Linked DNA regions of Sus scrofa. The protein of the gene in region 4 purifies or fractionates together with the protein of the main gene of each other region. This does not show direct contact. Links are inferred from orthologs where the notes say so. Each region holds a gene or a part of one and is shown on either strand. Other genes may lie near its edges.

Region 1 (4,183 bases), on a different chromosome or scaffold from region 4:
TGAAAACACAAGTTTCCAAATAAGCTGTCACCAAAACCCAATAATTTTTAGGGATGAGAAGGGTTAAAATACTTTTACGCCAAACTAATGTAACTGGAGTTTAGCAAGTGAGTGAATTAAAAGTGAAGAAAATAAACTATCCTTTAGGACGTCCCATGCGATCTTCTCCAAAACATACATGTTCTTTAAATGGAAATAAATTTTTCCAAGGTCTACCCAGGCTGAGGCATTTCTCCCCATAGCAATGATAAAAATGTCTAGATAAGGATGTCTAAGTTCATTGGGAAATCAACTTCAGTACAGTTCATTATTAAATTTATTACCCAAAGGTCCCAGGCCCTGGTCTCTGCCCTCCGGGACTCTATTCTTGAGAAAAGGGGCCCTGTTTCTCATTTCCTGCCAAACTTCAGTTCTAGGTATGGAACAGGTGCTCAGGGAGTACGTGATTTTACCATTTCAGGGCACTACAGAACCAGGAAAAAAGAAACAACCAAACAAATAAAACTTTGGAAATCATCTAAATGCAACACATGTGTTCACTTTGGCTAATAAATTCACAAATGAATAATTTATTCAATGCGCATATTTTCCATCTGAATGAATCCTACAGAACTTGGAACGTAACATCAAACCACCGCGACGCCACTTCTGTCTGGACAGAGGGGGCAGCTATGCCAGAAACGAGCGCAGCCCATCCCGGGCTCCAGAGGGCAAGCGCCGGGGAGAGTGCCTAGCACCTCGTCCAAGGACTCGACTCCCGGCGATCCTGCTGGGAGGCCGGGAGCGGGGTTGGGAGGGGGAAGCGACCAAACCCCGGCACCCAGCGCCAGGGAGGAGGGCGCCCGTTTCCTTGACAACCACTCCTGGGCGCAGCCATACCAAAGGACCGGGGGAGGGGAAGGGAAAGGAAGGGAGCGAGGGAACCCCCCACCCCACCCCGCGCAGGGGCAGCGGCGGCGGCCGAAGGCACCTCGGAGGCTCAGCAGCTGCAGGCCCGGCTCGCGGGGCCCTCTCCGGCCTCAGCCGGCGCCTACCGTGTATCCCCGCTCCAGGTCACTCTCCTCGTAGCGAAAGGACGGGATGTAGACCTCCATGGCCGCGCCAGCTAGCCCGGGAGGGCGAGCAGGGGGCGGGCTCACGGCGGCGGCCGCGGCCGCGACTCCGCCCCCGGCCCGGCCGCCCCGCCTCCCTTCCCGAGCCCCACGGAGCTGGAGGCTACGTGGCTCCGACCCGGATCCTCTGCGGACCCCGCCGCTCGCAGCGCTCTAGGAGGGCCCCGCCTGGAGCCCAGTGTGGGGAACCGAGGGCGTAGGGCTCTGGACGTCTGGATTCCGGGCCCAAAGCGCGGCGATCAGCAGTGCCCAGAGGAGGCGGGGCCTGGAAACCTGTGAGTCTGCAAAAAAGGGGTGTGCGCTCCACTGCGGTCGGGCGCCAGGGACAGGGCCGCACCCCGGCGCTCCCTGCCCTTGAGGCTCCAGTGTGCACTGGATTTGCAGTTTGCCAGACACCACCCTGAACAGACTGCAAGACGCCAAGGAGTAGAAGAGCTTCTTGATTTTGTTTTGGTTAAATTTTCCTTTTAGCCCTCGGCTGCCATGAAGAGCCGTGAACCCTGCACGACTTTTACGAAGACTTTTCTGTTTCCCTTCGATTCCAGGGTCAGTGCCTTGCTTTGCTTCGCTGTCGAACCTGGGAATCATGCTCTAATGCATAGCCCGAAGGTCGGCGGCTCACTGAGATAAACAGTCCGGTTTCTTGCTTCAGTTCTAAAATGCTGCGTCTAAGTAACTACACAGATCTTTTTACCTGTAAGAGAAAAGAGAAGGGGGAGGGGAAGATGAGGGCTGAGATTTGCCCCTCGGGCTTTGAGCTACAGATTACTGATCAAGCTTTTATTATACTTTTTATACAATAGCACAAACGATAACAGCCTACTACTAGTAGCCTGACATATATATTTTTATCTGGCATGGCTCACCTATTTACCCATTAGAGTTAAAAGTTAGAAATGTATCAGTCCAAAAAAATCTGACAGGTGGTCCAAATGAATCCTCCCCCCCCCTTTTTTTTTTTTTGCTGTATTTTACTAACTGTGTATAATTTAATTTTGCTTTGCTGAAAATATATGCAAGCCCTCAATATGCGGGTATGTTCTTGAGGGTCTTGCAGTTCAGCTATAATTGTTATAATTTTGGTTATTTCAGATGGCATAATTAAAGCTCAGAGAGGATAAATAGCTATGAAATTACAGGCTAATAATTAGAAGAGCTAAATTTCTAATCACGTTCTGTGGGCAACCACTATAAAGGAAAGAAGAATGGCACTGCAGTGAGAGAACATGGCAAATGTATTATCCCGATGCTCTTACATATCTTTTAGTATGACTCTACAATCTGTGACAGGTCAGCTGTCTTCTCAGAACATTAAGAAAAATACATGACAAATACATACATAAGAAGTTGAGGAGTTCCCACTGTGGTGTGACATTATGAGTGGAGTCTCTGCAGTGCCAGGACACAGGTTCCATCCCCAGCCCAGCACAGTGGATTAAAGGATCCAGTGTTTGCTACAGCTGCAGCATTGGTCACGACTGTGGCTTGGATCTGATCCCTGGCCCAGGAACTCCCTATGCTGTGGGGTGGCCAAAAAAGAAAAAGAAGAAGAAGAAGTTGAGAGGGAAGATTGCTGCCATGTCCTGCCCTGATGTCTGCCCCACATGATGAGCTGTCATACCAGGACCTTGCTTCAGACATGTAAATGTCCCCATCCATCAGACACCACTGTCTCTGTCGCTGACTCTGGGCTCTTTCTTCATTTTTTTTTTTTTTTTTTTTTTTTTTTTTTGCCTTTTTGCTATTTCTTTGGGCCGCTCCCGCGGCATATGGAGGTTCCCAGGCTAGGCGTCGAATAGGAGCTGTAGCCGCCGGCCTACGCCAGAGCCACAGCAACACGGGATCCGAGCCGCGTCTTCGGCCTACACCACAGCTCACGGCAACGCCGGATCGTTAACCCACTGAGCAAGGGCAGGGACCGAACCCGCAACCTCATAGTTCCTAGTCGGATTCGTTAACCACTGCGCCACGACGGGAACTCCTCTTTCTTCATTCTTAAAGCTGGGCAAGTAGAGTCTTTTCAGGCCTGTGGGGTTCAGCCCAACAACCACCAAAGAATAAGCCTAAAAAAATTGTCACTTCCCTTTAAAGAAGTGTCTCAGAGTAAACAAGAAAAGAAGGAATTCAGCTGAGGGTGGATGTGCTGCAGACCAAATTGAGTTCAGATCTGCTCAGTTTGTCTACTTACTCTCCAAGGACAAGCAGCATCTGAGGAGAAAGTCAGAGCCTAAGCCAGATCCCACAGATGACACTCTCCTCTCACTTCCCGCCCACTAACATTCCATGGACTGATGAGGCAAGGAGACAAGATGGCAGAGTAGAAAGGCTTGAGCTCACCTTCGATCATGAAAACACTAAACTCACAACTAACTGCTGAACAACCATCAACAAAGAAGACTGGAACCTACCAAAAAAAAGATACTCTACACCCAAGGACAAAGAAGAAGCTAAAATGAGATGGTAGGAGGAGTGATTTTGCAGTATAATCACATCCCATACCCACTGGTGGTTGACTCATAAACTGGAAAATAATTGTATTACAGAGATCCTCGCACAGGAGTAAGAGTTCCGAGCCCCATGTCAGGCTCCCCAGCCTGGGGGTTTGGTATAGGGAGGAGGAGCCCCTAGAGCATTTGGCTTTGAAGGGCACCACAGGGCCCGGGGAAACAGAGACACCACTCTTGGAGGGTGCACACAAGGTTTCTCCTGTGCTGGGCCCCAGGGCAGAGCAGTGACTCCGTAGGAATCTGGACAGACCTACCTGTGGGTCTTGGAATGTCCCCTAAGGAGGCAAAGGTTGGCTATGGCTCACTCTGGGGGCAGGACACTAGTTGCAGAGGCCCCAGGGAATAATCATTGAGGTGAACTCCCCCAGAGGTCACCATTTTGGAAATGAGACCTGGCTTTATCCAACAGCCTACAGGCTCCAGTTTTGGGAAGCCTCAGGTCAAACAACCAATGAAGTGGGAATAGAGCCATATCAGCTGACAGATTGCCTAAGGTCATCCTGAGCCCAGAGCCACCTCTAAACACACCCCTTGACACAGCCTTTGCTCACTAGAGAGATGCCT
Region 2 (4,077 bases), about 53 Mb from region 4:
TCCAGAAGGGTTAATAAATACTAATTGAACAAAACGGCTCAGGGAGACAGAGGTGAGTGTGGTGTGGAGTCGGCTGCAGGGCTTGCCACCCCTGCCCTGTGTGCAGTCAGACTGGTGACTCTGGACCCCCACACTGAACTCTTAATCTCCAGCAACAAATGCAGCCGATGTGGTACCCTTGCATCTCTGACCCCGGGCACTTCAACAGTAGGTGGGAGTGCTAGGTGAGCTCCGGAGGGCCCATTTTTCTGGGCGGCAACATGAGGGTTCCGCATAGGAAATCTCGATAATGTTTCCTAAACTTGTCGGCTCATGAGAACTACCAGGAATGCTTTTTAAAATAGATTTTCAGGCCCCTTCCCCGGAGATTGAGTCAGCAGTTGTAAGGGACCAAGTGATTCTTATAATTAGGTATACAGTCATTATCATAATGTTCACCATTTGTTGAGGGCTTACTATTTTCAGGACAGGTACTAAGAGCCTTTTTACCCTTCATCTACTGAGTTCTTTACAGGCTTAGGATTCCCGCAGGCTCTTGGACCCGCCTTCTTTATGTGGGAGATCTGGGTTCAAATCATGATCCCATTAGAGACTAGCTTGTTCTTCCGGACAGATTATGTAACCTCTCTGAATCTCAGTATCATTAGTGAGGCGGTGGGAAGTGAGCCGCCGCCTCTTCCGGCTTTATAAGAAGCGCGTGGCCTGGCCACAGAAAATAATCTGGGAGGTGGCTATCATCTTTTTGTCATCATCGTCACGCGGTACGGAGACCTGAAGACCGCTTCACCTAATGCTCACACCTTCCAGCTACTGGGAGTTTCAGGTCCAGAGTCCCAGCGCGGGGGCGCTCTTGTCACGCACGGGACGGCTCTCAAAGCGCCCCCCACAAAGTTACGGGCGCTCACATCTGCGCCTGCGCAGACTCGGCAGTCTAGGGTAAGAGTGTCGTCAAGGAAAATCCCCAGCTTCTAGGTAAACAACTTGCCGCGTGAGACCGCCTGCACGTGTCCTCTACAGCTCCGGAATGTCTCAGCCTATGAGAAAATTGGGAGGGCTGGACTGACGTTTGCGTCACCAATCTAGGCAGGCCGGGGGTGGAGTCACAGCCAATAAGAATTTCGGATGTGAGTGGGGGCGTGTCTTTCCTCAGACCTCCAATCAACGCGCTAGGGCGGCCCCTCCCGCACGTGGATCTGTCGCTTGGTAGGCAAACTGACCAATGAGAAGGTGACGGCGGCGGGCGGTGCCAATGGTAGCTGGGCGGAGGCGGGGGGGGCCCCGCACGCGGCGCGGGGCATGGGTCGGCGCCCTTAGGCCAATAAGCTTGAGGGGCGTGGCGTCCTGGTCGGCGGGCGAGGCTGAAGGAGCGAGTCCAAGTCTCCGAGATCCTAGTTGGGAAGAAACTGTACCGCGCGTGAGAGCCGAGCGGTGAGTGCTCCGGCGTGGTGGGGTGGGGAGCGGGGAGCGGCGGCGATTGGTATAGGTTTTTCCCGCGTGGCGTAAGGAGGAATGTTAATGCAGTACCGTGAAGGAGAATGTGTGGATATGTGATCGCCGCGGTGGGAGCTCTAGTGGTTGCAGGGAATAGGGGCCGCGAACTCAGTTCTAGAGAGAAGGGAGCAGGAATCACTGATTTAAGATCCCTCGCTATTCCAAGGTGCCTGGATCCCTGACTGCCGCGGGGAGGGGTTCGGAAGCGTTCGGCAGCCTGAGGGAGCTGAGACCTCTGCTCCCAGGAGGTACCGGACCCTTTAGAACCAGTGGGGGACGTTCCAGTGCGTGACTGTTGCTCGGGTAGGTGCCTTAAGCACTTGAAAGAGGCCAGGGCGGTGGAGGGAGAAGTTCTCGTCGTTGTTGCTTCTTCGGTTAAGGACGCCGTTTCTGTGAGGATGCAGGTTCTATCCCTTGGCCTCACTCAGTGGGTTAAGGATCATCAGCTGCAGCGTAGGTCGCAGATGCAGCTCGGATTCCTTGTTGCCCGTGGCTGTGCCGGTTGCTCCAGCTGCAGCTCCGATTGAACCTCTGGCCGGGGAACTCATGCCTCATTTGCGGCCAGCAGTAAAAAGGAAAAAAAAAAAAAAAGCAGGAGTTGTGAAGCTAGAGAGAGGCCCTGGTAGGGCAGGTGGGTGGGTACCAAGGGATTGACAAGGTGACTTGAAAAAGGGTGGTGTGATGATTTATGTGACCCTGAGCCAGTCACATCTTGGCTGTGGCTCTGGATGTCTCTCTCATGTGTAAAAAGAAGGGGTTGGGCCTCGGAGCCATCCTTGGGAGTGAGCGTGGGGTAGGAACTATTGGATCTCAAGAGGGAGGATGGATTTGTGCAGATTGGATGCACGTGTGTCTTCCTGAGTCCTTGGAGGGGAGGAGGCAGGAACTGGGTGCTCTGGTATCTGTCTGTACAAGTAACCAGGCCTGTGGTAAAGTGACCTGTGATGAGGTGGAGGAGTCAGGAAGTGGGGTTCCTAGCAGATCACTGGGGCTAGTGGCTGCCAGGGTGATCTCAAGGACTTTGTGAGAATATGAAAACTGGGACAATGCGATTTGAAGTGTGTAGAGAGTGCAGACTGACTGTTGGGGCGGGGGGGATGGCATCTGTGTTTCAGGCACCAAACTCAGAATGGGCTGGGTATTTGAGAGGCCCAGGTCCCCCAGAGGTGGTAACACCTCACAGGTTCTTGAAGGGTAAGAAGCCAGAACGACAAGCCATTAACAGAGTTCAGATTCGAATCCTGGGCCCCATTTGTTAAGAGTCAGAGAACATATTATGAAGCAACTTAGGCAAGTTTAGTAACTTCTGAGCCTTAGTCGGTCTTTGTGCAATGGGGATAATGATATCTATCTCACAGGCTTGTTCTGAAGATTAAATAAGTTAATGTATGTAAAGTACTCAGCAAAATGCCTGGGTCATATTTAAAAAAAATTTTTTTTAGCTAAAAAATATGGCTGTATGGTGACAGTAACAGGAATGGGTGAAAGATTTCTGTGAATGCTGTGGTTAGGGACTGACAATGCTCACATTCTTAAGCTTTTTTGCAACTTTTAGTGACTCCCTCCCTGTTCTCCTCTTCCTGGTTCTTCTGGGCTGGAGCACCAGCCCCAGTCCCTCATTCCTCTCTTTTATCCCTCCCCCAAGATCCAGGCCCCAGGCTGGGCCACTTGCTCTGTCCCAGTTCGATTTCCTCATCCTTGACCCATTCTCCTCCCTGTCCCTCCTCCCTCTCTCTGCTGCCATGGTAACAAGACATTCAGGCTTTGAAGGGGGCCTCAGGGAAGGAGCAAAGGTGCGTGTTCTCTTGCAGAACCTGGGCCTCCAACTTCCCCGCCCTGGCTCTTTGGGACCGGGCCAGCAGATGTGTACAGTCTGGGAGGGGGGAAAGCCAATGCCAGGAGCTGTAGGAACCAGCCGAGGGAGGGTGGATGCGAGTCTCCAGAAGAGAGCCTGGAGTGGGGGCGGGGGAAGCACCCCTTCCTCCTAATCCTCTCTCCAGGAATCCCTGGCTTTGGGACCGGACGGCTGTCGTTGGGTTGGGGGAGGCGCCCAGGCTGGGTGCATGTCCTGGGCTACCAGCCAAAAGAACATGATGTTCCCAAGTGCGCTGGCCGCCGCCCTCTTGGGCTGGCCGCCTCCCAAACCGCTGCCTCTCCGGCCTCCCTGCCCCACATTCCCCGGCTGCCTCGCCCCGCCCCATCCTCCGCTTTGACGTCACCGCCGTCTCCCGCCCCCTCTCTTCCATTGACGGCAGCAGGGCCTGGTTACTGTGGGGATCGGGAGGCAGGATCTCGGTTAGAGCCTTGAGAGCAAGTGGGAGCTGCTGGAGCCCTGGACCCTTTTGTCCACGCCAGAGAAAAATATGGAGGCGGAGGGCAAGGACTGCCTGTGTCGGGGGAGGTCACATCTAAAGCCCTGAGGAGTGCTGAGGACGAAGAAAAACCGTGTCTCCAGAAGAGGTGTCTGATAGGACCAGGGATTAGGCCACAGTATAGGAGTTGGGGGGACATTTTCAAGGAGAGAAGACTGAGAATCCAGGCTTCCGAATCCTTTATTTTGTGTTTTCTGGCTTTGTTTTTTTCTGG
Region 3 (4,030 bases), on a different chromosome or scaffold from region 4:
GAAGGAAGGAAGGAGGGAGAGGGGAGAGGAAGGGAGGCTGATGTTCTATTTGATTTACAAACTCCTCTGTCCTTGGCTTTGTTCAAGTTGGTCCCTTCACCTGAAGCCCTTCTTCAACATCCCTATAGCTGATCACATCTATGACTGAAGGTCCAGTTCAGGTGCCATCTCCTCCACAGAGCATTCCCCAATCTCTCACTCTCCCATTTAGTAGCAGTATCTCCAACCTAAATTGTCTTGACCCTGTATATATAAATATACGTAAATATACAAATAACAGGATGCCACGTAGATATATGGTATAAATAAAATAAAGGGGGGAGTGGAGGAAGAATGACCCAAGGGGCAGTGTAAGGACACGGAAGGTATCAAGCAAGACCTCTCTGAGGCGCTGATTTGTAACACGGGGTGTTTAATTCCACATACACTAATTGGGCACCAACATCTGTTTCACAAAATACTCTTCTTCACCTTTCCGCACCCTCTCCTTAATCTTTTCCCAAAAAAAGCCTGTTGCAGTGGCTTTCCAATATTGCTATTATTTTAGAGGAAAAAAATCCTACACAGGATGTTGACAAGTGCTTTACAAACAGGGGCAAATTTCAAGTCACACATACTCTGAAAAAATGTTAAGAGTAACTTGTCAGTGAGAAATCTGATGTCAAAAGGAAGCTGAACTACAAGAATTTACAATATAATGTCAAGAAAATGACTTAGCAACTCTCCAACTCTACAATCAGCACATTTACCTTCTAACATATAGGAAAAGAAGAAGAGCAACAAGAAAATATACCTGAAAGAGAGATTCTGCAGTTTTTCACTTAAGAATAGAAAAATGAGAATTTCCTCCCCCATTCAAAGGCCACTCTACCTACGACCTAAAGAAAACCAGCACACACTAAAATTTTCTTTCACAGGCTTCCGTGAGTTTGGAGGGCTTCGACCACTTGGAACTATGAGGTGCCTAAATACAAAAATCTAAGGGCCACAACCTTGTAAGTTAACTATACTCCAATCAAAAAATTTTTTTAAAAAATCTAAGGGCCAAAGTACTCACTTCCCTTTCTGCCTCAGATTATTCTGCCGATTCACTAGTACCCTGAATGAAATATCTGTGATCTACGCTATCTTTCAAAACTATTACTCTGATCCCAGTCAAATCTTTTCTCCTACTTCCATGATTACAAAATTCCCTCTTTCGTGAGAAAAAGAATGTATATATGTGTGTAATTGGGTCACTTTGATGTACAGCAGAAATTGGCAGAACACTGTAAATCAACTATAATAAAAAAATAAATAAAATAAAAATTCCCTCTTTCCTCTGCACTGTCATCCTATTTGCCTTGACTTTTTTCTTACCTAATGATTCAAATATTCTTCCAAGCAGACTTATACATCCCCAAAACTTATTTCTGCTTCAGGAGTTCTTAATCTTTTTCTGCCATGGATCTCTTTGGCAATCTGGTGAGGCCAATGGACCCCTTTTCAGATTGCTTTTAAATGCAAAATTAAGTAAATGCAACTACAAAAGAAATTAATTATACTGAACTATTAGCAAAACAATGAAAAACCCAAATACTGTGATGTATGCGCAGCTTTATTATCTCATTAAATAACAAGAACTAACAATGGGTCTAAAAATACCATAATTCAGAGAAATTATAAACATATATGATATTCTGAGATACCTGCAGCTGTAAACATGACACAAAAATATCTGCAAGAAAGTCACAGGCATTACTACAACTACTGTGATTTGTTGCCTATATTCCTAACTGAAGGAAATGACAATAGCTAAATAATAAAAATAAAGATGTAATTTTATTCCCTATTCTAGTTCAAGGACCCTCTGAATTCTATCCACCAATTGGTGAATCTCAGGTTGAAAATCATTTCTAGTTCAAAGCCTTGCTCAAACTGATTTCTGTCACAAAATTTAACATCAAAACATTGATTTCTCCTTTGACCAAGCTCTCATCTGAACATATCACCATGCCTCCTCGTTTGTGCAGATTTATACACACAACCCTGCTTATTTCTCTGATTTGCCTAACCAGCACCCTACTTAAATTTCGTCAGTCAGTAAAAGGCGAAGTGGAAGGAAAGGAGATGGGAGCAACCAACAGCTCCTCGTTACGGACCTCCAACAGGAAGTGGAAAGATGCCAAGTATGGAGTGTATGTTTACCGTAGGTGGACAGCCCCCCACGACTCGTCCCCTGAGTCCAGCCTGTCAAGAGTCTCCGAAGCAAGCCGTCTTCACCAGCGGCACTCAGGAGACATTCCACCTCCTCCCCGCCTCCCATACTCAGTTCTCTAGCTGCCAGGTCGCTCGCCTCTGGCCCTCACACGGAGCCGCCCGGCGGTCCTCCTGTCCCTTACCATCCCATCCCCCACGCGCCCCTCCCTCTCCTCCGCCCCAGGCTGTCCCGGCCCCGCGCGCCGCCACATCTCTCCCCTAGACCTACCCGTGTCCCCCCACCCCCATTCTCCCGACACTGGAGGGAAGGGCCCAGGGCCCAAGGGTCAGCGGGACCCGGCGGCCCGCCGTCAGGCGCAGACTGCGGCCCTAGGCCGGAGCAGCACGGCCGCCAGGCAAGGAGCTCGCACTCCGCACGGGGTGATCGGAGGCGTGCACTCACCCAGAAGATCGTGCAGAGAAAGGCACCGAGGTCTGCGCCGTCCTGCCACTCGGCCTCGGAACCGTCGCCCTCGCCGCGAACTGCCACCGCCGCTGCCGCCGCCGCCACTTGGCTTCCCTGCGTCCTGCGGCGGCGCTGCCGCCACGCCAAGGCGCGTGCGCTGCGCCGCGGGGACCCCTGGGACTGGTAGTTCGGGACCCGGCAGCCAGGGGTGCCTCTTCCGCTTTTTCCAGACAGTCGGCTGCGAGCTGGCGCTGTCTCGGTCGGCTGGGGTACCAAGCGACGGCTTCCGGAAAATTGTTCGTCACACGACGGACCTTGCTTCCGCATACGGTTCTGCTGGATGTGAAAAATTCGTCTGAGCAAGTATGTATAAAGTAAAACAATTTAGAGCATTTATGTTTTAAATAACAGCTGTCACTTGCCTAGAACGCATCATTCGAAACACACACACACACCCCTCCTTTTCCTTTCTGTTAAAAGGGTCATGAATTGCCTTTAGCGATATCTGAATTTTCACTTTTAAACCTGATTTCCCACTCCTTTTCTCAAATTTTACTGATTGTAATCTTGCCCATAGAGTTTTTTTAGGTCGATTGACAATTTATCTAAAACAAAATTGTTTGCAAAAAGCAATTCAGAGATATTCAAATATCAAGTTAACTGAGCTGAGCAGTCATAGAAACCTTACAGTTGGAAGACATTTGAAGGTCATTAGTCCAACACCCGCCGGGGCAGGAATTCCGTTTTGTACATTCCAAGACAGATGGTCATCCAACTTACATTTCAACAGGTCAGATTTCAAGGAGCTCACTTCCTTAAGTAAGGCAGCCTGCTCCATCGTTGGAGAGCTTTAAATGTTAGTAAGTTCTGCCTCCTGCTGAACCAAAATCTACTTCCCTTTTACTTCCTTCCACTGCTAGTGGTTATGCTGCCTGGAGCAATATAGAACATTTTCCACTTGACAGCCCGTACAAAAATTGAACACAAAGATTATATCCGCCAACGCTAGGCATCTCCAAGCAGTTTTCCAACAATTTCAAATGTGATTCAGCTCCCAGACTGCTTTCCATTTAGTCATCCTCCTTGATGTATTACCTTTAAAACTTGTCAAAATCTGCATCAGATTTATCACCTCATTTTATTACCACGAGAATGGTAATAAAATGGTTCAGCAGGTTAAGAAGCCCAGATAGTGTCTATGAGGATGCAGGTTTAATCCCTGGGCTTGCTTGGTGGTTTAAGGATCTGGCATTGCTGCCAGCTGCAGTACAGGTCGCAGATGCAGCTTGGATTTGGCATTGCTGTGGCTGTTGTGTGCTGGTGCTGCAGCTCCAATTTGACTCCTAGCACAGGAACTTCCATATTTTGCAAGTGTGACCATAAAAA
Region 4 (3,500 bases):
ACGCGAGCCGGAGGGCCGGCCGCCGGCAAAGCGGGTGGCGGCGCATGCTGGGGCGCCAGGACACTCACCCGTGTGTGAGGTAGGGGTGAGGGGGGTGGGAGGGGCCGCCTCCTGGGTCCCCCTCAGCCGGCCTGAGGCCGTGGAGGGGAGGCCGCGGGTGGCTGGGTTGCGGGAGTGTCTCAGCCGCTCCTCTCGGTCCCGGCGCTCCCGCTCGGCGTCGTCGGCTGCCCGGCTGGCTCCCTGCGAGGAAAGAGGGCGAGACCAGGACTGAACTGGGCTCGGCGATTCTCAGCCACTGCTCCAGCGACGCCGGGCATGGGGGTCCGTGGGCCGGGGCAGCCGTCGCCAGCCACGCAGCAGCCCAGCGGTCCCCCCCGGAACCTGGCGGCCCGGCCCGCCGGTGCGCAGAGAAAGCCCCAGCCGCCGCCTCCTCAAAGCCGGGACCGGCGGCGCCCAGCGGCCCTGCCCCGTGGGACGGGAGCCAGCCTGGGTCAGAGGTGGCCCAGCCCCGCGACAGTCGGGGCCCGTGAAGCCGGAGGGAGAAGCAGCACTCGGTCGGCTGAGGGCTCCAGCCAAAGCCCCGAGCCCAGAGCCCCAGGCGAAGGTCACGGCGGCGCGTAGGTGACGAGGCGGCCGGGCTGCTCCCGGAACAGTGAAGTGTAACCGGAAGCCTGGGGGCACCTGAGGAAGTGCGGTGCTGGCAACCGTCCTAGTCAAGGGCACTCCCGCCGGCCCTCGCAGCCCCCGGCTCCCGAGCTGCCCCTGGCGCAGCCACGCCCTTCCGTCCAAACCGCACAGGCAGCTCTCTGGGCACAACAGGGACCAGCGGTGCCAACACGGTGCAGACGGCAGGTCCGAAATCATCTTCCGGAGAACAGACCGTGGCAGAGCGGCTCTGGCAGGAGGTCCAGCGCGGTGGCAACTCCGGGCCACCCACACCCCCCTCCCCGGGGCTGTCCCGACGGCCACCCTGACAGAGGGGCCTGGCTCCCAGGGGACACGGACCAGGCCTGGCGCTGGCCCCACTGCAGGAGGCTGCAGCCACCTCCACCTGATCCCGGGGTGAGCACTGCACACCTGAGGCCCCGGGAAGGGGCTGCCTGCCCTGCGCTGGGGCCTCAAGGGGAGGTTCTGTCCCCATCAGGTTCCGTCACCCCAGAAACGTGCCTGCTTGGGCTTGAAGCGCAGAACCAAAAACTTAGAACCAACTTTGAATGAAACACTGGAACGCCGGCAGTGCTTCCCGAAGACTGATCGAGTGCATTCGACAGACTCAGCGACAGGAGGCCTGTCTCAGAGCAACACCAAATCGCCAGCCTGCTCGGCTCCTGCTCACGCAGCCAGGCTCCCGCCTCGGGAACACATGGCGCCCCTCGGAGGCCGCGCAGGGGAGGAGGCAGGTCCTCACCCCAGGGGGGCAGCCACGCCCCAGTGACCCGGCCACCCAGGCCACCGGCTGCACACCCCAGGATGGACGACGACGACGACAGTGACCTCAGGGGGCAGGCCTGCACCACAGACACCCCCGTGGCCCTGGCTGTCCTGGAAGGGCCTTCTTGGTCTCGGAGGCCCTCGCGCTCCCCACATCAGCGACGCCACCCGAAGCCCGCCCTGTGGCGTCCGAGGAGGGAGGGGAAGGCTCGGCGGCGGGTGGCACACTTACAAACTTGAGCATGTTCCAGTCAAAGACGTAGTCGTAGGAGAAGCCCTGGCGGTGGAACAGGTTCCTGAAGAGCTGCCTCAGGTACGAGTAGTCAGGCTTGTCATCAAAGCGCAGGGAACGGCAGAAGTTCAGGTACGTGGCGAACTCGGCTGCAAAACACGGGAAACTCAGGGTAACCAGCTGTGGCCCGACCGAGGGCCGCACGGGTCTGTCAGCAGGACCCCTGAGCAGGCCTGCCACGTGCCGGACGTGAAACGCGGGCACACACTGAGCAAAGAGGCTGAGAAAACAGTGCCGCGGAGCCTAGGCTTCATTGGGGGAACCTTCCCCAGGGGGCGCCCGATGAAAACGAAGGGCCCCGGGAGGCACGGCTTAGGAAGACAGGGGAGCCTTCTTCTAGGGACAGAGGCCACCTGCCCCTGTCCCGCCCCAGCGCAGGGGTGTGGGCAGGGCCTCGGCCCGTCCCTGGGACACTCACGGGGGTGTGGGGGACCCCGCCCCCCAGCCTCGGTCCCCGTCCCTGGGACACTCACGGGGTGTGGGCGGCCCCGCCCCCCAGCCTCGGGCCCCGCCCCCCGTCCCCGGGACACTCACAGGGGTAGCCTTTGCAGAGCACCTCGATGGGCGTGGACATCTTCTTCTCGCTGATGCGCTCGTACTTCTGGCGCTTGGTGGCCGCCTTCAGGCCCTGCCAGGGCAGCGAGCCCAGGTTGAAGTACATGAGCACGTAGCCCAGAGATTCCAGGTCGTCCCTCCGAGATTGTTCTGGGAAGAGGGCCGAGGGTCAGGGCGGCACGCAGGCCTGCGCGGCACAGGCCGCCCCTGCTGTGCTGCCGGGAGGCGCTCTCAGCCCGGATGGCAAGGGCGGCAACAGCGTCGCGGGGGCCGCCAGGGAGCCAGCCCGCGCCCGCCCCACCCCAGCCGGGAAGGGCCCGGGCCTGGAGGCCTCACCGATGCCGAGGTGCGTGTTGATGGAGGCGTAGCGCGCGGTGCCGGTGAGGTTCTTGTTCTCGCGGTAGGGGATGTGCTGGTGGGTGCGGGCGTCCCGGTACTTCTTGGCCAGCCCGAAGTCGATGATGTACACCAGGTTGCCCTTCTTGCCCAGCCCCATGAGGAAGTTGTCCGGCTTCACGTCCCGGTGGATGAAGTTCTTCGAGTGGATGTACTCGATGCGGCTGATCTGCGGGGAGGGGGGGAGCCAGGTCAAAGCCCAGGGGGCCCCACAGGAGACCGGTGCCCACACTCCGCAGCCCTCGGCGTCAGAAAGGGGCACAAAGGAAGCACCCACGTGGTGCAGGTTGTAGCTGCAGCTTGGGCGCTGTTCCTGGCCCAGGAACTTCCCTATGCTGCAGGCACAGCCAAAAAAAACCCCCCAGCATCCTACACCAATTTAAAAACGTGTGGGGGCACCGAGCCGATCCCTCCGGCCCCGTCCTGGGCTCTCACAGGGGGGCAGCCGCAGCCTGACGTGACAGCTGTGCTGTGGACACAAAGCCCTGGAGGGCCCCGAGCCCTTCCTGCCCTCCCCATGCGCTCGCAGGCCCTGCACTGTTGAGCCAGACCCAGCGTGTGACCTGAGAAGGCGCTCTCACCATCTGGTCAGCGAGCAGCAGGACGGTCTTGAGGCTGAACTTCCTGGAGCAGAAGTTGAAGAGGTCCTCCAGGCTGGGCCCCAGCAGCTCCATGACCATGACGTTGTAGTCGCCCTCGGCCCCACACCACCGGATGGTGGGGATGCCCACTGCAAGAGAGCCAGCGTCAGCCCGCCCCCACCACCCTGGGGCACTGCGCTGGCACCAGTGACCAACTGCACCAGCCCCTCGATGAGGAGTGGGGG
Region 5 (3,938 bases), on a different chromosome or scaffold from region 4:
CACATCTCTGAACCCCACACAGACTCCAGTTCAGTCCTTTACACTCAGAGTTACCCCTAAGTCTATGACAGAACTAAAAGAAAAATTCATGTGATGGCTTTTTTTTTTCCCTCTTGCTTTTTAGAGCATATCTGCAGAGTTTGGAGGTTCCCAGGCTAGGAGCTGAATCGGATCTACTGCTAGCCACAGCAACTCAGGATCTGAGCCGCGTCTGCAGCCTACATCACAGTTCACAGCAACACCAGATCTTAACCCACTGAGCAAGCCCAGGGATCAAACCCTCATCCTCTTGGATACTAGTCGGGTTCATTACCGCTGAGCCACAAACTGGGAATTCCAATGATGACCTAATTACAATCTCAACCCACATTCTCCACAATTCCAGTCCCTAATCCCAACCCCTCTACTGCAGCACATCAGGGCCCACACTTTGGACTCTACTACTTGTAAATGCCAAGTTGCTCAACGCTGACAGAGGTGTAGTATTGTGGATAAAAGCAGAAACTTCAGATTCTGAATAATCCTGGTAGAAGTATTAGCTGTATGATATTGAGCATGTTACTCAACCTGCAGCAGCCTCGGTTTTCTTTGTCGGTAAAATGAAAACAGCTCTTTCACTAGGGTTTGTTGAAAGAATGCAACTCGTCTGAGTTTACAGCAGTAAAGGAGACAGCAGCGTAAGGGTATTATCACGTTGGTTGGCATCTAATGGAAGCTGTATTAGAATGCTGTAATGATGTATGTATAGAGTGTGGTAGATGATTATATTGATGACGAAGATGATGTAGGACAGCCGGTGGTCTGTCCTTTTAAGTCATTTGCTGGAGTCACAGCAACCCTCGCCAGCCCACACAGCTTCCAGCGCCAGGCCCTAAAAAAGGAAGCTGAGCTCCGCCGTTCCTCGGACTTGGTCCACGCCCAGACCTCCTTGGGGACCGCCAGCCTGCGTCACTAGCCCAGCCCTCCGGCTCCTCCCGGCAGGGCCCACACATGGTGGGAACGTGAGGAGGCGGGGCCAGACATGGTGCCTCTAACCAATCGCCCGGCAGGAGGCGCCCAGCCAATAGCAGAGGCGCTCCAGGGCCTGAGGGCGGGGCTCCAAAGAGTAGCGGCGCGTCATAGGTCACTGGGCCAGCTGGGGGCCGGGCTCGCGGCGCCGACGGGGGCGGAGCGGCCGCAGTCAGAGCAGTCCAGGCAATGATGGCGGCGGCTGTGGCGACCGCTGCGGCGTCCTCCCCGGCTCCCGCTGCCGGCGCGGAAGGCGCCTCTTCGGTGCACTGGTTCCGCAAGGGGCTGCGGCTCCACGACAACCCGGCGCTGCTGGCGGCGGTTCGCGGGGCGCACTGCGTGCGCTGTGTTTACATCCTCGACCCTTGGTTCGCGGCCTCCTCTTCAGTCGGGATCAACCGGTGGAGGTGAGGGGGCCCCGGGCGGGTTTGCGGGTCCGGGGAGCGCAGTCTAGCCTCTGAGGCACGTACCCTAAGAGGGGGGAGGCTCTGGCCCCAGTCCCCTCTGCTGAAAGCCCCCGACCTGAAAGAGATGGGGCAGGGAGGCGCAGCTGAGTCTCCAGTGGGGAGAAGCCGCGACGTGGGTAGCAATTAGTCCCATAGTTAGGGCTTGGGTGGGCCAGGGCTCAACCTCTGGCACGGCGCGTTCTCACTGTGTTATCCCTTTTGGTCCTCACGACGTCCCCGTGAAACAAAAATCATGATCCTCATTGTACCGATGAGACTCTGGAGTCTTAGAGATACAAAGTTGACCTGCCCAAGGACTTGCAGCCGGCGAGTGGCAGAACAGGGACTCCTGGTCTAGGGTTCTTAGGGTTGTGCTCAGGGAGGGGAGGACGGGAGCTATTGCGGTATGAGGGCCGGGACAGGTTTCTGAAATAGCACGGCAGACACCTGCATTCTTCAAGAGCGCTCCTGAAGGTCGTCTTAAGCTTAAGCCTCTGGTTTGTGTGAATTCATTTTTTCACCTATCCTGTCTTCCTTCCACCAAGATCATCCAGTCTCTGGAGGTGTCTAGAGACTCTGACTTAGCATTAGGTAGGGCAGGTGCCTTTGCTCCTTTATTGTAAATAAAAGAACATGCTCTCAAGGGCACGTTCATTGAGAGGCACTCTGTGTCCTGGGCTAGAGAGCAGACAGCAGTACTTAACCTATTTTGGAGAATTCCCTCAGCAGCTATGGGCTTGCTAAGGAAAAAAGCAGGAGGGGGGAGGAAGAAGAAAAAGAAACAAAGAGTCCCTTACTTCCTCCTCTTCTCTTGAGATTGATTTTAAAGGACAGTTGAGCCTGTAGATTAGACTCTTGTCAGCTGATGTGCTAAGATTTGGGAGCAGGCAAGCTGTGATACCAAGGGGCCCTCTTTGATGACTCCCAGGATCATGGGAAAAGTTTAACAGGTAGTTGATGTGTTTTCTCCATAACCAGTGTTTAAAACAAAGGTGTTCTGAGACATTGTGTACCCGTCTCTCTTTAACAAGTCTGGCAGTCGTCCTCTAGTTTGTTTGCATTGTTCTGGAGGTGTTTGCTTGTGGCCTTGTTGCACTGAGGGGCAGAGTTATTCCCAGGATACGCTGGCTCCCCATTCTTTCCTCTCCAAGGTGTGTGCCCTGCTAGGAGAGTGAGTGCTTCTAGCAGTGGGTCTATTAAATGCCCCCCTCCTGCCCCATTTATATGGAGGGAACAGCTAAAGATAGTTCTGTGGAGAGCCTGCCCACACAGTTTTCAGTCTGCTCTATTACTCGGCCCTTGCTCCAGTTTCTCTAGATAGGAGGTTGGGCTGACAAACATCCTCAAATGACCAGCCATCCCTAGTGTGGACTTAGCTTGGACTAAGCCTCAGACTTTGCCCCTCTCCTGATGGCAGTGTGCCAGTCAGAGCAGAGTAATTAGACTCCAGACTACTTGTTTGTTACATTGTCAAGGAGTTTCTTCTTTTATGGGATTTGAGGAATGTGGCATAAAATTGCCTGTTCCTTTGCAGTAGTGGAGATTAAAAATCAACAACAGGTGGTCCCATTGTGGCTCGGTGGTTAAGGATCCCTGGCTTCGCTCAGTGGGTTGAGGATCCAGCATTGCCGTCAGCTGTGGTGTAGGTCACAGATGCGGCTCGGATCTGGCATTGCTGTGGCTATGGCTTAGGCTGGCAGTTACAGCTCCTATTTGACCCCTAGCCTGGGAACCTCCAAATGCCGCAAGCGTGGCCCTAAAAAGACAAAAAAAAAAAAACCAACAACAAAACCTCTGTTGCTTATTAAACTCAGATTCTCTAGAAACTAGGTATTTAGAGATTTTTGTGGGTCACCCTTTTGTAATTGTGCTGTTGAGTGAGTAAAAGAAAAAGAATGTGGCAGCTCAGATGCCTATATCAAATCCTGAAGTCAGAGGCTGTGTAGGAATGCAGATGTTAATTGAGCGTTTAATGAGCACCTAATATCTGCCAGGCACTACTCTAGGGGCTGCTAGGAGCACAGCAGGGAACAAGCAGATGTGTCCAGAGCTCCTGGAGCTTACATTTTCATGTAGGAAGACAAGCAAACAGCTATAACTTGGTAGAACTAAGTGCTGTGAAATAAATAAAATCGGGGACAGACTGTAGCAATGGGTGTCAACCTTGCCACGCGTGAGAATCATTTAAGTATCTTTAAAAGATGGCTGGGCCCACTTCTCTCCCAATTCTGATTTCATTGACTTGGGTACTAGGGTCTTTAAAGCTGTCATGTGCAGCAAAGCCAGAGAAGTGGACCACAGAGTCCGGCAACTTGGGATATGTGTTGCAGTGCATTGGCAGGAAGTCTGATTGGTTTTGGTATCAGAAGAAAGAGGTGAAATAACACAAAGCAGATTGAATACAATAAATGCTCCTGGGCCTGGGCACAGACACACACCTACCACCGCCTCTATACTCTTTGCTCTCAGAATCAGAGTGAGGGC
Region 6 (4,022 bases), on a different chromosome or scaffold from region 4:
AATATGCCAATCTACCGCAAGACCCCCACTATAGCTACATATTATCTTTTGTCAAAAACCATACAGTATGATATTTACTGACATTCCAAACATCCTTTTTGATGACTAACACTTCTGTTCATAGGCAAGCTTTTGATTTACTCGTAATTTATTACATAAGTTTTCTTTTATGATGATCATAGTTGATGGGATGTAGAAACCCAAAGCAACAGAGATTCTGGAAGACAGGAGCTTACAGGGTATCTGCAGGACTCATTTCTGCGGTCAGTCCAGCTCCTCCCGGATCAGTTTTCTCTCCAAGTACCCCTGGGTCCTGCGATCAAATGTGTCAGAAAACTCACTCGATTCCAAATCCTAAAACAAAATTATATTATTTAAAACACATTTTTAAAAAGCAGACTGGTAATTTTGGAAGTCTCATTTTCATCTAAGCACCTACTATACTTTTTTAAGAACAGAAAATAGTGTCTCCAGTGCCATTCTAGTTTGACCACTATGTTTCAGCTCCTCTCCTATTTCCCTTCACCATGCCCTGTGGGAAGCTAACTTCTGTTAAATGAATGGGCAATAAGGGTCACACCCAGTTCTGTTTTAATACATCAACAACTCTCCATGTGCCGCAAAGTTTAAGTTGCATAGACAGGCTACTATGAAGCAGGGAAGTGACGCCGGTATTTCCTGCTTAAACACAGAACTGTTTTTAAAGAAATGGGCTTGTTTTGATAAGAGAAGGGCCCAGTGTTTAAAGCTGGTGTAAATAAACAGAAACACGTGGTCTGCGGAGAGACAACATCAAGTGTCAGCAGCTTAAGAAAAAGGGCCAGGCTTTTGCGGGAGGAGCGCAGCCACCGCGGAACGGTGGGAATTCCAAGCCTCAACAAGCCCTCACCACTGGACTATCGGAAACCAGAACGCGCCAACCTCCAAGGCTCCTCCCCAGCCTTCTCCGCCCATTCTTGCCACAGGGTCAATCCTCTCCGAGCCCGGGATACAAGAAACGACTCCTAAATTACCCCACACCGGGACTCTCCAAAGCCCCACCCTGGGGACCCGAAGTTGTGTTTTACCCGGGAAGAAGGAGGGAGATCCGCGAGAAAAAAGGTAACGGTACAGCCCGAGCTGGTCTCTCAGTATAGGTTTGGCCAAAGACCTGAATTAGGCGGGAGAGAAACAGCAGCTTTTTCTCGCGAGACTTCATTGATGACGTAGTACTTTAATTCTTCTCATTGGTTGAGGATGCTGTGAGGTCGCAGGGAAAGTAGCGGCGACGCCCCGCCCTCTTAGAAGAGCCAATCCTGAGTAGCCGAGGGGACGAACCCCGGAAGCGAAGTTCCCGGCGGCGATTTCCCCCTCCCGCAAGGTAGGTAGCTCTTTCTTATCCGGGGTCCGCTTCCAGCTTGCTTGGCGCCACCTAAGAATTCTTGGGCTCAAAGGGGCGGGTCACCTGTCGACCCCTGCGGAGCCCTGTAAATAGGGCCGCCGCATGGGTCCTAGGTAGAGCAGGAGCGGCTTCCTTGTCCTTAGCAGTTTGGAAGGCCGCAGACTCGACTTCCTGGCCAGTGAAGTGACCGGCGGGGACTGGTGGCCTTCTAGCCTCACTCCCACTCCCGAGATTGAGCATTCGGACTCTAGTTTGCAGGCCTTTCCCTGCGTCCTCTTACTGTCTCCCTGGATCCTTGGTTCAGCACATCTATGTTGCTTTGTGCAGACGGCAGTAAAACAGGGTGCAGTAAAAAATAATGTGAAACTTTTGAATTAGAAAATATGGACTTTCAGTTTCATTGAAAGTTGTTTAATCTATCTGAACCTCAGTGCCTTCACCTGTAAAATGGGGTTTACACACCCCCCACCCCTGTCACTGGGTTGTTTGTGAGGAGTTGATATAGTTTAGATCTCTATGGAATGTGATCTTTAGCAAAACATAGACTGTTTCTTCCTGGTGGGGTATCATCAAATAGGAGTCTTGATGGACTCTTTAAATCCTGAATCAGGAATATGCATCTCGGTTTAACTTTTTAAATCCGCTACAGAATCTTTATATGTAATTAATTTTATCTGGAACAGTAAATTCAAATTATAAGGAGCTTTTTTTTTTAAAGTACTGGATTTATTTTATTTTTTTAATGATTTTTATTTTTTCTTTATATTTGATTTACAGTGTTCTGTAGTTTTGGGGTTTTTTTTGGGGGGGGCAACACCTGTGGCATATGGAGGTTCCCAGGTCAAATTGGAACTGCAGCTGCCACCCTATGCACAACAACACCAGATCCAAACCATGTCTGCGACCTACACCACAGCTCACAGCAATGCAGGATCTTTAACCCACTGAGCAAGGCCAGGGATCAAACCTGAATCCTCTTGGATACTGGTAGGGTTCATTGCCACTAAGCCACAATGGGAACTCCGAGAGTTTTCATAAAAAGGAGGGGGGGGCCTTAAAATTTGTGCTATAATATTACTATAATTGATATAATTAACAAGTGAACTTAACATTATTTACTGGTATTTATTTAGTGTTTAATGAGTAGATGTATGATCTTTTATGTCGTAAGTTTCAGAGAATAATTTGAGAAAAAAGGAAAAAGTGAGATTATTAGAACATAAAGCCTTTCTGACAGGGTCTCTCTGTTGACTCTGAAACCTGGACAGTTTTTGGAAATCCTTTAGTAAAATTCTTATATTGTGCAACAAAGAAGTAAGTCCAGAGAAGGTACTGATCATATGTGATAGATTTAAACTTGAGTTTACTGCTCTTGGCACTAGTAATAAAGTGTAAAATGTAATGATGCATTTAAGATTGTATCAACTAAAATTTGTGAAATTAGGTAGGAAGAAATCATTGTGTTAGTGGTATGCCTAACTCTTGAGCTTCTCAGAACTAATTTCAAGTAAAATCAAGTGATAGGGCTTTAATTCAGTTTAATTTTGCAAGTATTTCTCTCTTTCTTTGTCTCTCTCTCTCTTTTTTTTTTTTTCTTTTTTCTTTCTTTTTTTTCCAAGGCCGCACCTGCAGCATATGGAAGTTCCCAGGCTAGGGGTTAAATCAGAGCTGCAACTGCCAGCCTACAGCATAGCCATAGCAACCAGGATCTGAACCTCATCTAAAACCTACACCATAGCTTGTAGCAACACCAGATTCATAACCCACTGAGCGAGTCCAGGGATGGAACTCACATCCTCACAGAGACTATGTCAGGTCCTTAGCCTACTGAGCCACAGTGGGAACTCTGAATTCTACAGATAGTTCTTAACACCTGCTGTATATAAGTGGAACACAAAGGTAAGTTAAATATAGCTCCTGTCCTTAAGCTGACAGTATTTTAAGAGGCTCAAACAAGAACAAAATTAGATAGTATGTAGCAGCAAAAAAAGTAGAAACGAGAGATGATTTGGAAGCTCAAGAAAGATTTAATGAGATAGGCAACCTCTGAGAAGAATCTTGAAAGACTGGTAAGGTTTCAACAAATATAGTTGGGAAGCCGAGAAATAATATTTTTTAAATATCTATGATTCTCATCTCTTTTATTGAAGTTTAATATGCTGAGTAACTCTCTAAGTTGATATTGGTTTATAAATTATTATGGCAGCCTAGCAGAGTAAATATTTCCTTCAGGAAGCCTTCTCTAATCCCTTAGGACTGGGTTAATGGCCTAGGTTATGACCTTCCTGTATATTCATTGTATCTGGACCTGGTCTTATCATGGTACTCATTACACTGTGTTTGCCAGTCTCACTGACTAGAGAGTAAACTTTTTTTTTTTTTGGTCTTTTTAGGGTCACACCTGCGGCATATAGAGGTTCCCAGGCTAGGGGTCAAATCAGAGCTGTAGCCGCTGGTCTACACTACAGCCACAGCAACACCAGATCCTTAACCCACCAAGCAAGGCCAGGGATCGAACCACAACCTCATGGTTCCTAGTCGGATTCATTTCCACTGCTCCATGATGGGAACTAGACAGTAAGCTTCTTGAGATTAATTGTTCATTATTGAACAATACTCAGAGACTGGCACAGACCAAAAA
Region 7 (3,500 bases), on a different chromosome or scaffold from region 4:
CTGAAAATTAGGAGGGATAATAATTTTGCCAGCAGGAACCTGTAGAATAATCTTCTCTCCCTCAAACAGCCAGAGGTCCCACTTGGACTGATTGATAAGCAGGGCCCAGGGTAGCAGTTCTATCAACAAGGTCCTCACATATGGCTTCCAGGCTGACAGCTTCACTCGCATCGGGCTGTCCCACTGGCTCAGCTGCTCATTCCTATGCCAAATACCACATCCAAGAGACTCAATGAAACATGATGACTTCTGGATCCATGAAGTGTGTTTAAGGATTCCAGACACACAACGCTCCTGTATGACACCTCTTCACACTAGAGTCATGCCTTGCTGCATTTGCATTCAGGAGAAAAGCTTTTCATGCAATTATGTTCTAGATTAGGAATGAAGCAATCTACAGAATACATCTATTAGGTGATAAAAGGTCAGAATCTGGCATATATATACAAATATCTTTTTAAAAACATTTTTATGGTATCTAACATTTTTGGGAATGGTTGTTCACTCCTTAAAACTGAGCAATGTTTGTAGACAAAGACTGCTGGAGAACATACCTGTCAGAATCCTTTTTATTATAGGGCCACGTGGGTTGAAGGGACTTTTCTGGCCCATAGAATTCGTCGAGGATCTGATTAACTGTCCCTCCTGGGTGTATCTTAGTGGCTATTTGCTTAATGAGGGATGTTGAGATGGGGACGGCACAATGTGATGGATCATCTTCTTCTCTAGAGAACACAAAGAAAAAGCAAGAGTGATTATCAGATGTATTATAAACCAATACTTTTTCGTGAGAATGAGTCAATGTTTGATGATTTGGGGATGATGACACAGTTTTAGAATAATCTGGGCTGTGGCCTCCCCCTCCCCCCCAACGCCTGTGAGGTTCATCTCTTGCTCCTCTACAGAAATGATGTGTCAATTAAATGTTCTGATCATCCCTCTGATTTATTTCTAAAGGTGCTGAATTTTATCTATAGAATATGAGAATACCAGACAGGGCAACTTTAAAACAACATTCTCCTAAGATAAGAAATCATACGAAAACCCTCTATCCTCCCATTTCCCCTCAGTGGGACAAGGTTACATTTCTACGGAATCTCTCTTGGAAGATATAAGGACTTTCCCAGTACCTTGCTTGAAATGTTAGGTGATGTACAAGGTCAGGTTCTATGTTTTGCAGTGGTTTTTCCTGTCCTTTTCCTGGAATAACTTGTGTTTCACTCAATCCAAGACTCCTTTTCTCCAAATGTATGATAATGGGGTCTGGAAGATGACTCCTCATGATAAAAAGAGGGCTGAACACAATCTATAAAAATAAAAGGACAGAACAACTTTCATATTTGCTTTGTTGCAGTATTCCAGCTGTTCGATGCCGAAACAAACTTGTAATAAATCTCTTCCCTGGGTCACTCTGACCTTAATTTATTTCAGAACAGGAAAGGTCAGAGTCATATACCATATTTTAGGATTGCAAAGCACTTACCATTCGCTGTTGCACTTGAGAACTGGGTTCTAAAGTCAAAACTGTGCACCAGACATAAATAATGGAACTGTTTGAAGATGGCACCTGCACATGAGATAGAAAAGGGTCCTATTAAATACTAAAAAGTTTACTAATTAATCCAAGTGAGACACAGATATAATATCTGTCTGGAGGATACAGAAAGCCTAATGTTAGAAAAAAAGCCACGTTAAAATAACCAAGCAAAATCAAACTTCATTGTGGCCTAACGTGAATGTGCAGTGAGTCAAGGAGCCCAATTCGTTCCATAAGGATGAAGGGATGTGTACGCAGAGAGATTGATTCAAGAGTCAGTGGGAGAATGAAAGAGATGATTTGTCCTTTATGGGAGTGAATGTGATGGCAGAGATGGAGAAAGAGATAAAAAAGTAGCAGATCATCAAAAAGATTCTCAAGTGGGGGGGACACCCTTTATTCCCTCCCATCCCCCCAAAGCCCTGGTACATCAGAATCTTTTTCAGGATGTAACCCATCTCCATCTGGGAGGGTTAGAGTCTTGGATACTGGAAGTGATTCAACTGTGTGGTCGTGGGATGGGGAGGAGGGAGTTTGAGAAGTGATATTCAAAGCCTTGTTATATTACTCCTCTCTTTTGTACATGTCACTTATTAATAAATTGAGTGGGGGTGCTGAGTAAAGAACATAATGAGAAATTTTAAATTTTAAAGCCGCACCATTCTAGATGGTACTACTTCTCATACCTGAATGACAACGCTATACTCAGGGGCCTTGGATTCCAGGCACACGTCTCTCGACCAGTCTTCATCTCCTTTGGCCCTCACACACAACTCGGTCAGTTCACTGTTTTCGAGTATGTATGAAGGCAATTTCTGCTTGGCTGTGAGGCAGTCAAAATGTTCTCGAACCACAGCTTGTCCGTCTTGACCAATGTAATGCTGAACAACTTTTAGTTCTATACTTTGAGACAAGTAACTACAGATAATCTGTCTTCCACAGATGATAATCTAAAAGACAATCAATCAATCAATCAATGAGACTTCATCAATTCAGATTCCATGCATTGGAAATAGAGGCATACCTTGGAGATACCACAGGTTTGGTTTCAGACCACCACAATTAAGCAAATATCAAGATGAACCCAGTTACATAAATTTTCTGGTTTCCAAGTATATATGAAAGTTCTGTTCACACTATATTGTCATCTTTCTGCCCCGGAATGCAGCAGCTTGATGTGGGATCTCAGTTCCCAAACCAGGGACTGAACTCGAGCCATGGAGGTGAAAGTGCTGAGTCCTAACACTAGACCATCAGGGAACCCCTTACTGTAAACTACTGAGTATGCCAAGCATTTTGCTTTAAAAAACAAAAACAAAAAACAAAACAATGTAATACATTAAAAAATAATCTTTTTGCTAAAAAAATGTTAACCATTATCTGAGTCTTCAGTGAGTTGTAATCTTTTTGTAATAGTAACATCAAAGATCACTGATCACAGACCACCATAACAAATGCAATAATAAATGAAAAATATTGCTAGAGTTACCAAATGACACAGAGACATGAAGTAAGCAATTGCTGTTAGAAAAATGGCTCTGAAAGACTTGCTCCATGCAGGGTTGCCACAAACTTTAAATCTGTAAAAATGCCATATCTGTGAAGTGCAATAAAGCAAAGTGCAATAAAACAAGATACGCCTTATGTAATTGTTCAGACGGAGCAAACTGTGCTGATTTTCATGGAAAGAAAATGAAATCATAGGCTTATTTAGAGAGTATGAGAAGAAAAAGAGGCTTGGAAGGAGAGAAGGGACTTTGCTCTGGTCATGAGGCCTTTGCAGGACTCAACTAGTATAGGCAGGATCCATGCCCAGCTAGAAATACCGGTCATGTGCTTGAGAGTGAAGGAGAGGCTGGAGATAAAATACTGGTGAAATAAATGCCTTGTAAACGTGCAGACAGAAAGGCACTTTACCTGGAAAAGTGAGTAGAGGCTCAAGCCCAGTAACTGGCCGACACTT

Evidence for each region.
Region 1: the proteins of CSNK1D (region 4) and SNX24 purify together in Homo sapiens (affinity purification with mass spectrometry; 3 studies listed by BioGRID and IntAct, counting the BioPlex papers as one, with this or other methods). This does not show direct contact. The link is inferred for Sus scrofa from reciprocal best matches to the Homo sapiens genes CSNK1D and SNX24.
Region 2: the proteins of CSNK1D (region 4) and PER1 purify together in Homo sapiens (affinity purification with mass spectrometry; 4 studies listed by BioGRID and IntAct, counting the BioPlex papers as one, with this or other methods). This does not show direct contact. The link is inferred for Sus scrofa from reciprocal best matches to the Homo sapiens genes CSNK1D and PER1.
Region 3: the proteins of CSNK1D (region 4) and GAPVD1 purify together in Homo sapiens (affinity purification with mass spectrometry; 5 studies listed by BioGRID and IntAct, counting the BioPlex papers as one, with this or other methods). This does not show direct contact. The link is inferred for Sus scrofa from reciprocal best matches to the Homo sapiens genes CSNK1D and GAPVD1.
Region 5: the proteins of CSNK1D (region 4) and CRY2 purify together in Homo sapiens (affinity purification with mass spectrometry; 3 studies listed by BioGRID and IntAct, counting the BioPlex papers as one, with this or other methods). This does not show direct contact. The link is inferred for Sus scrofa from reciprocal best matches to the Homo sapiens genes CSNK1D and CRY2.
Region 6: the proteins of CSNK1D (region 4) and ANKRD49 purify together in Homo sapiens (affinity purification with mass spectrometry; 3 studies listed by BioGRID and IntAct, counting the BioPlex papers as one, with this or other methods). This does not show direct contact. The link is inferred for Sus scrofa from reciprocal best matches to the Homo sapiens genes CSNK1D and ANKRD49.
Region 7: the proteins of CSNK1D (region 4) and VPS13B purify together in Homo sapiens (affinity purification with mass spectrometry; 3 studies listed by BioGRID and IntAct, counting the BioPlex papers as one, with this or other methods). This does not show direct contact. The link is inferred for Sus scrofa from reciprocal best matches to the Homo sapiens genes CSNK1D and VPS13B.

What each region holds. Positions count from the first base shown.
Region 1 is NC_010444.4:126,346,902-126,351,084, reverse strand, and holds the start of SNX24 (sorting nexin-24), read right to left. Parts: upstream 2,801-4,183; 5' UTR 1,095-2,800; coding exon 1,035-1,094; exon of another isoform or gene 971-1,034; intron 1-970. UniProt on the Homo sapiens protein: May be involved in several stages of intracellular trafficking.
Region 2 is NC_010454.4:53,373,924-53,378,000, reverse strand, and holds the start of PER1 (period circadian protein homolog 1), read left to right. Parts: upstream 1-1,277; 5' UTR 1,278-1,428; intron 1,429-1,657; 5' UTR 1,658-1,794; intron 1,795-4,077. UniProt on the Homo sapiens protein: Transcriptional repressor which forms a core component of the circadian clock.
Region 3 is NC_010443.5:265,946,838-265,950,867, reverse strand, and holds the start of GAPVD1 (GTPase-activating protein and VPS9 domain-containing protein 1), read right to left. Parts: upstream 2,801-4,030; 5' UTR 2,642-2,800; intron 1-2,641. UniProt on the Homo sapiens protein: Acts both as a GTPase-activating protein (GAP) and a guanine nucleotide exchange factor (GEF), and participates in various processes such as endocytosis, insulin receptor internalization or LC2A4/GLUT4 trafficking.
Region 4 is NC_010454.4:785,859-789,358, reverse strand, and holds part of CSNK1D (casein kinase I), read right to left. Parts: intron 3,405-3,500; coding exon 3,256-3,404; intron 2,844-3,255; coding exon 2,615-2,843; intron 2,429-2,614; coding exon 2,258-2,428; intron 1,813-2,257; coding exon 1,664-1,812; intron 241-1,663; coding exon 69-240; intron 1-68. UniProt on the Homo sapiens protein: Essential serine/threonine-protein kinase that regulates diverse cellular growth and survival processes including Wnt signaling, DNA repair and circadian rhythms. It can phosphorylate a large number of proteins.
Region 5 is NC_010444.4:16,617,581-16,621,518, reverse strand, and holds the start of CRY2 (cryptochrome-2), read left to right. Parts: upstream 1-1,138; 5' UTR 1,139-1,197; coding exon 1,198-1,415; intron 1,416-3,938. UniProt on the Homo sapiens protein: Transcriptional repressor which forms a core component of the circadian clock.
Region 6 is NC_010451.4:26,633,394-26,637,415, forward strand, and holds the start of ANKRD49 (ankyrin repeat domain-containing protein 49), read left to right. Parts: upstream 1-1,222; 5' UTR 1,223-1,360; intron 1,361-4,022. UniProt on the Homo sapiens protein: Induces HBG1 expression. May have a role in spermatogenesis where it promotes autophagy in response to serum starvation, via the NF-kappaB pathway.
Region 7 is NC_010446.5:37,141,842-37,145,341, forward strand, and holds part of VPS13B (vacuolar protein sorting-associated protein 13B), read right to left. Parts: intron 2,488-3,500; coding exon 2,224-2,487; intron 1,568-2,223; coding exon 1,484-1,567; intron 1,307-1,483; coding exon 1,131-1,306; intron 726-1,130; coding exon 555-725; intron 203-554; coding exon 1-202. UniProt on the Homo sapiens protein: Mediates the transfer of lipids between membranes at organelle contact sites. Binds phosphatidylinositol 3-phosphate. Functions as a tethering factor in the slow endocytic recycling pathway, to assist traffic between early and recycling endosomes.